Linked DNA regions of Caenorhabditis elegans. The protein of the gene in region 2 interacts with the protein of the main gene of each other region in a pairwise test. Each region holds a gene or a part of one and is shown on either strand. Other genes may lie near its edges.

Region 1 (3,930 bases), on a different chromosome or scaffold from region 2:
TGTGTCAAAATTGAAAAAAAAACATTGGAAGGCGTGAAAAAACTGTAATTCTGATTATTTTGAGAAGGTTAAAGTTGCATATTAAATCTAAAAATATTTTTAAAAATTAAAAGAAAATCAAACAATCATTGGAAAAAACCATTTCTTGGTCTACTACACTAACAGAATAGTTCAAATTTTAGGGATAGAATTAAGGGAATTTTCGAGATTTTAAAAGTTTGAGTAAAATTTTATCACATTTTTAATAGTACAAATTAAATCAAAAATACAATTTCCACTAAAAACGAAAGAAAAAATTTCTCAAAATCAATTTCTGAAGACTATGGCTATTCCGTATCACAAAAGCTCCTTGTTACAGTGAAAAAAGTGTAGTCTGACAATTGAAACAAGAAACAGTTCCCTGCAACCAAATATAGTCAAAAACGATATTGAAACAGTGAGTGAGAGAGATTGAAAGCGAGGCAAAAAAAGAGTTGAAGACCAACATAAAATACACATAATCAGTGTAAAACTCACTGTCTTTCATCATCTCTTTTACTCTTTTTCCCTAGCGTTTCAACTGAAAAATGGAAACTTTTCGTCCTTTTCCCTCTCAATTCTGCCGACGGTTTGTTTGTACAAAGGGCGGCGAGAGAAGTATCAACGTGGATACGCAGAGAAAGGAGTGGATCGAAAGATCAAATTGAGTGTGAATTGAGTAGAGAGACACCACGTGGCACTACTGACCCGATGGTCAACAAGACGCTCGGATCTTTGGTCTTATAGTTAGCAACCAGAGAAGAATGTTTTACATTTTTATAGGATTGAAGTGGGAATTGACATTCAAAAACCCTCCGACTAATCCGTTATTTACTGGAAAAAGAGTGACGATGTTGAAAGGTACAGTTTGCACCGAATTCAGAATAAAATGAGAAAATCGTGTCGATAGGGTCAGGAATGGACAAGAATGATATCATCGGGCGAAGAATCGATAGTCGATTGACGCCATCCGATCAATTGGTAGAGGCAAAGGACTGGTTGTGATTTATGGAAGTTACAGGCAAATGGATAGATGGACAAAAATCGAACTTATTTAATTTAGTCCGATGTCTATGATTTCCAAAATTTTTGAACTAATTCCAAAATACAACTTGAACTTTTTGGAAGCATTTTTTAATCCTGTGCCATGAGTTCACGATTATTCAGCGTATGAAATTCCAGCTTAACTTCTAGAAATCGTGGAAGCATCTAGTTTTAGTGGTTCGTCAAAACTGTTTTTCTACAGAAAATAAACAAATGAACGTTCATGCCGTCAAGTCAGTCTTACCGCCGAATTTACACGTGTTTCTGCGCTGAAAAATAAAAAATACACTATTTCAAAGTTAAAATTTGCAGCAGTATCTGGAAAACATGTCACTTTTTCTTGAAAAAAGGTTTTTTTTATATTTACAAAGCAAACAAAAAAACATATATGACACACCTGAAAACATTGGCAGATCCGAAAATCTATTGATATAATGCAAAACAAAGAAGGCCTGTCAAATTGATGCAATGTGACTTCACTAGACTCTTTTTAAACTCTTGATCAAATAAAACTTGCAAATCAGAATATACTACAGTCTACTCAAATTATTTTTACTAAAAATTCATTTAATCAATTAGCGGATATATTGCTGGTAATATCAGTTTAATACTGATAAGAGTGAACTTGCAAAGCAGGCAGACAGCTTCTAAAATCTGTCAATTTTGAATGAACTGCCGACAATCGAACTTTCAATACTGTGTTTTTATAAGTTACTGTTAAAAGTCTTTAATTGAAAACCCCTCAAATAGATTAGTTCTTATTTAAAAAATAAAACAATCACGATCATCTCTTTTTTTTTCTTGTTATCATTTTTCTCCGAAAAGATCTCAAAATAAGTGATTATCATGTTTAGTTGTCTTCCTAACCGTATCTTCATTTTTCATAATTTCTATCATATTATCTTCTTCCTTTTTCTTTGATCTATTCCTTTTTTCTTCATTCTCCCACCTTTTATCAATACATTCTTGCACGTCTTCATTCCCAGTTTCACACCCAAAACGATCAGACATCCAAGATATATTGAAAATACAGTAATCCGTCATGCTAGGTGCCTGCAAAAGCGTTACATCACGTGGTCTTTCGATGACCCTGTATGACAGAGAAAAATGGGAGAAATTGATGAAATTCTGATGATGATGGTGGATAATATTATCGAATGTGGGATAGGAAAAAGAGTACAAAATACGTTATTTTTCATGAAAACTATTAGGAAAACTGGAACAACTGTTTGATCAAGTTACAGATAATACGGCAAGAAAAAATGTGACAAAGTCGTCAAAACTTACAATTAGATTCAGCAATATTTTCTAAATTTTGTAATAATCACTGTGAGCTCTAGGTGTTTTTTTCAGTTTTGCCGAACCTATGTTCAAGAATTCTCAACTACGATTTTTCAACAAAAAAATAATTTTTTGGGAAAAGCAGGGCACAGTGTTGAGTGCACCAATTTTTTTGTAGGACTCTTGATTACAGAACTGAAAAAATGCTTACAATTATAAAATTAAAAAAGGCTTTAACTGCAAATTGTAAATTGTGGAATGTAACCTTTTGAATTTCTTATTCGGTATGCATAAAAACATGTCAGGCGTACAAAATTTTGAAAATTGGCTGAACGGATGAAAATGAAAAAGCTTACTAGTCAGAACATAAATTGTATGGAGCACGATTTTATTCATTTTCAGTCGCGTCCCGTCGGCTCTGTATTTATAACAGGTATGTATGTCGGTTAAATTTTAAAAAATTAAGTGAAAGTTTGCATTATTCATAATTGATGTCACGTGAAGCAGTTGAAAAGGTGAGAAGGTCATGCGAAACCGGATCGCTTGATTAGAGTAAGAGTACGGCAAACTTTCATTAAGAAGTTTTGATTGCTGACAGTACAAAGTAGTAGTTTTAAAAATTGAATGTTATAAAAAGTACAATTTTCAAAATGTAGTTATTCGTAATCAGTTGCAAAGAGAATTCTATAAAATAAATTACTAAAACTTGCCCAGAAATGAAAAAAACATGGGAATAAACGTAGCATTTATACCACACAAACTATATTAAATATCAATTTCAAAAATGTTCATTGATCCAAAAAGAATCAGAAGAACAAAACAAAATACACATTTTCTCTTCTGACCTGACTTCACTTTAGTCAAAATCTCTGGCAGGGGAATTCGAAAGATCAGTTGGCGTAGACCAGCTTCTGACATATTCCTACAATCAGAATAGCTCTCTGCCCTCCTCTCCCGATAATCAGCTGTTATTGCACAGATTATCTTTTGCTCTTTTTACGTACTTCAAGCACGTAGCAGCATATTGAGATTATTCAAGTAGAGTAGAGACGATCATTTGATCTTCTCATATTTCTCGCCCCTTTTTCATCTGAAACCAACAAGTTCTGATTTGATGTGGTGGTCAAGAAGACTAGAGTTTGGCAAGCGTGCGCGCAAAGCAAAAGGAGGAGGACAAAGTGTTTTCTTTTGAATATATACGAAAAACAGAAAATGCGGAAAAAAGATCAAAAGATGGAGCAGTGATCTCTGCACCACCGAAACACAACACACTTTTTGCACACACACACGCATTGAGGGTGGTTAAAACGACGTAGATAAGGTTTCGAATATTAGACAAAAGGTATGGCGACTAGATGCGAGAGTCAGATTACAATATGACTTTCCAAAGAATTCATCACATAAATAAGAAGGTAATTTGTCTGACCTTTTTGTATTGGTGTATTGCTCTTGTGCCCTAATTTCTCAAATTTTCTACCTTCGCCATTGCAACCTACGCCTGCCTGTGCCTATATAGGCATCTATACTCTTAGTTTACTGCCAAAGCACACGCAAACCTCACTTTCAGCTTCATTCTAAAAACGTTTA
Region 2 (3,930 bases):
CTTCTGTGATCTTGACTTTGCTCGAACTTCTCTCAAAGCTGCCATTTGTTTTGCCTGAAATATTAAATTAATCAAGTTCAAGTTAACATGTTAAAATTTACCGTTTTTCTAGCAATTTTTATCTCTTTATCAGCTCGCTTGATTTCAGAATGTCGCTTAAATCTTCTGTATCTTCGGAGCAAATGATCATTGTGACCACAGAGAATTTCAATCTGAAAACCAGTGAAACTTTCAGAGCGGAACTCTATCTAGCACGGCAATTATATTATATTTTCGTGCTCTAGTTCCGAGTGTAGTCAACAAATTTCATAATAATGTATTTCAAACAATTTCCGATAAGAAAAAAATTTGAAGACTAACATTTTTGTGCTTAGGGACCTTTTAGATAAGGGACCTTTTATTGTTTTTGATAGAATTTTTGAATAATACAGAGGAATCCTGTTAGCAAAATCGGGTTTCAAAATATATCGCTACCGTATTTTTTCAATCAGTCTTGCATCCCATTTCTTCATACGCGACTGATTTCTTCGTGTTAATATTCAACCATTTCCGATTTCAACTACCATAATTAAATTTAGCAAATCTACATAAACTTCCCGTTCAGCACTAGAACTCAATTTGCAGTGGGTTCATAATATATTCAATCAAAGTTAATTCACTCACCCCGCGAGATCCATAAACTCCATGGATTCCTTCCGCTAAAATGAGTCCATCCATATGCTTCTCAAATTTGAGCATTTGCTTAAACATGCTATTAGTTGGAAACATTGCAGCACGAGCCAGTTGTACTGTCATATTCATGAAGAGTAGATCGTTGGCGGGACATTGTTTGTATACTTTGATATACTTGTAGAATTCCTGAACTTGTTGAGGAGAGCCGACTGCTAGAGCATCGTAAACGTTGTGCCAGCGCTTTGAGACATTCTGAAGACTCGGACGGATATCGATCCTCTTGGTGATGTCACGTAGTCGGTCCACAAAGTTTGCAGTGTTCACCACTGGCATTTTAGGGAATTAAGTGAGAATTGGGGCAAAAGATAAGGAAAATAGAATCAAGAAGTTTGCAAAGGCGACAGATGTCGGAAACAACGACCTTCCTAATTATGGGCAGGAGGGTCGATGTGAGAAATAAAGAACACACGAGACTACCGAGAGACCGCGACGCGAGCGATGGCGACGTGTGTGTGTTTGAGCGGCCGAGGAGGGGTGTTCGACGACAAACAACTGGCAAAATATAGGGAGAAGAGGAGGACGAAGCAAGAGCCGACTGGCGAGCGGCTATGCGAAGCGGCCTCTACGCCGTCGTTTCTCTGAATATTTATTGGTCAGATGTCCCAGGCAGAGACGAGACTGACAGAGCAGAAGAAGACGTCGTTTCGTGGCGCCGTGTGTGTGCTGCACAATGAAGGACTTGACGGACTACTAGTCGGTGTGAGAGAATCACGGGACTAGATGACTGGTTGGCAAGAAAAAAAACAGAAATGGATGGCTGGCCTCTTTTTTTTTGAAGGCAAACGTGTGTGGAAAACGTTTTTTGAAAAATGGCAGTGTTTGGGAACATGTGAAGAGAAGTGACTCGAACTTTAAACGAAATTCGTTAAAATTTTAAAGAAACGTTTGAAAATTATTTCGTTAGGGTGGGAAAAATTTCATTTTTCAACAAAATCGTTACAAGGCGGAATACTCTTTGACTCTTTTTTTTTTGGAAAACGATCTGCAACTTGGCTAAACATGAAAAACATGAAATAATAAAATGTGACAAAATACTTTTCAGTTACTACATATACAACAAATTGTTCCTTCTAAAGTTAAATGGATGTTAATTTATGACTGGTACAGCAGAAAAGTGATATTTTTGTTAGTTTGTTTCCCAGATGTCTATTTTTAAGATAGGCCAGTTTGATACACACCTACAGTCTCACTCCGCTCAAGAAGACCTTGAAATATTTTGAAATATTTCGCAAACTTACATGTGAACATATCTAATAATTCTGTTAGATATGCTAACTGTTAACTATTCGAAATCGAACCAAAGTTCGTCTTCTGACATTCATTTTAAATTTGAAACCTTTCCCATCATCAGTAAAAATCTGTGGGAAATGAGGAGAAAGCATATGCGGAACAAGAGGCCGGAGGTTTTCCCGGACGCTGAATTATCACTATCACGAGCAGGTCTATCACAATAGAAATTTGTCATAAATTGTTGCCAAATGCACATAATTTCGACCAAATAGTCAACATTTCCATTTCTTATCTTACAAACCAATCATTCAAGTTAAGATTACTCCGATCATGAAATTCGCTCTTATTTTATTCTTTGTATTAATACATTCTACATTAACGTATAAAGTTTTGGTTTTCAATCCTGCTTATGGTGCAAGTCATTCTAATTTTCTTGGAAAAATATCTGATATTCTCATTGATGCAGGACACAATGTGGTAAGATTTATATAAAAGTTATACATTAATTAACTTTAAAAACACTTTAGAAAATTTTCAGACTATGCTGATCCCAGAGTATCTGATAACTAAGAAAGATTTTGTTGGCTCAAAAAAAGTGAAAGATGTAGTGAGAATAGGAAGAGACGAGAGAGCTGGAAAACTTTTCGAAGAAGAAGGGATTGAGCATATGGGAAGGGCAAGAGTATGGAGAATGGATCCTGAAATGATGTCTCTGGTAACGGTTAGTATTTTTTGCTTTCGATGAAGTATTTGAAGCAAGGCCTTAGTACGCACCGAGGTTGCCGTTTTTCGTTTTTTTAGAAGACTTAAAAGCGAAAAACTTTAGTGGTTAAAGTTGGTCAAACAGAATTTTTTTTTGTAAAGTCTGAAAAGTGGGTGGCAGTTCTTAAAAGTTGATTGCGATGTGGTAGCGAATTGTTGAACCTAAACGTGTTTGAATTTGAAAAGTTTCTCTCAAATGAGAAAATAATGCCAGTTAATGTGAAAAAATAATCTGAAAACATTTCGAAATTCCAGATTGTCGGCTCAATGAACCTGGCTATAGGCTACCAGTGTGAATGTGAGTACCTTTTCTGAATGAATTCTTAGTCTATTTTCTCGCTTACAGATATTTTCCAACAAAAAGATATTATCGATCGTCTGAGAAATGAGCATTTCGATCTTGCAATAACGGAATCCCTTTTTGCATGCCCATTTGGTCAGTTTTTGTCGTATGTATATATTTCAATTTAATACACTTTTTCAGCTTTATTCGACCACATTGGAATCAAGAATGTCATAAATGCAGAGTCGAATTTATTTAAGGACGCTGTAAAGTATGCTCATGGAGAGCCAGCTGCGATCAGTTACTACCCTGGACTTTTCTCTCCACATGATGACAAAATGTCGTTTGTAGCACGTGTCAAAAACATGATCACAATGCTTTTTACGAAATATCTGTATGGATCAAGATATGAAAAAGAGCTGGAGATGATTAAGCCATATTATAATGGAACTGAAACTTGGGAAGATCTTTTCACAGGAGTAGCATTTAATTTGATAAATTCAAATCAATACATTGATTATCCGTCTCCAGCTTTGCCTAAAACTGTTTTTGTTGGCGGAATGCAGGTTAACACAAACGAGGCTAAAACAAAATTAAGTGATGAATGGAATAATATACTTAATATACGCAAGCAGAATGTTTTGATTTCATTCGGATCAAATGCATTTTCATCGGAAATGCCTGAGGAGTTCAAGTAAGAAAATGCAAACATCAATATCAAAAATTCAACTCTTTCAGAAAATCATTTTTATATGTGTTCGGAAATATGCCTGAGATTACTTTCATCTGGAAATATGAAGAAGCCAATGCAACTTTGACTAGTCATCTGCCAAATGTGAAACTTACCACGTGGATGCCACAAAACGATTTGTTAGGTAATTATTAAACGTATTTTACAAATTTATTTTTTAAGATACATAAAA

The links.
Region 1: the proteins of ZC443.4 (region 2) and nhr-34 interact in a two-hybrid assay, tested with the Caenorhabditis elegans proteins (one large-scale study listed by BioGRID).

The regions. Positions count from the first base shown.
Region 1 is NC_003282.8:9,670,556-9,674,485, forward strand, and holds the start of nhr-34 (Nuclear hormone receptor family member nhr-34), read right to left. Parts: upstream 2,116-3,930; 5' UTR 2,107-2,115; coding exon 2,012-2,106; intron 1-2,011. UniProt on the Caenorhabditis elegans protein: Orphan nuclear receptor.
Region 2 is NC_003283.11:12,818,041-12,821,970, forward strand, and holds the start of ZC443.4 (DUF659 domain-containing protein), read right to left. Parts: upstream 1,847-3,930; 5' UTR 1,006-1,846; coding exon 664-1,005; intron 213-663; coding exon 102-212; intron 55-101; coding exon 1-54. Other genes in the region: ugt-18 (UDP-glucuronosyltransferase), read left to right, coding at 2,293-2,439, 2,501-2,683, 2,980-3,022, 3,071-3,160, 3,209-3,701, 3,746-3,882.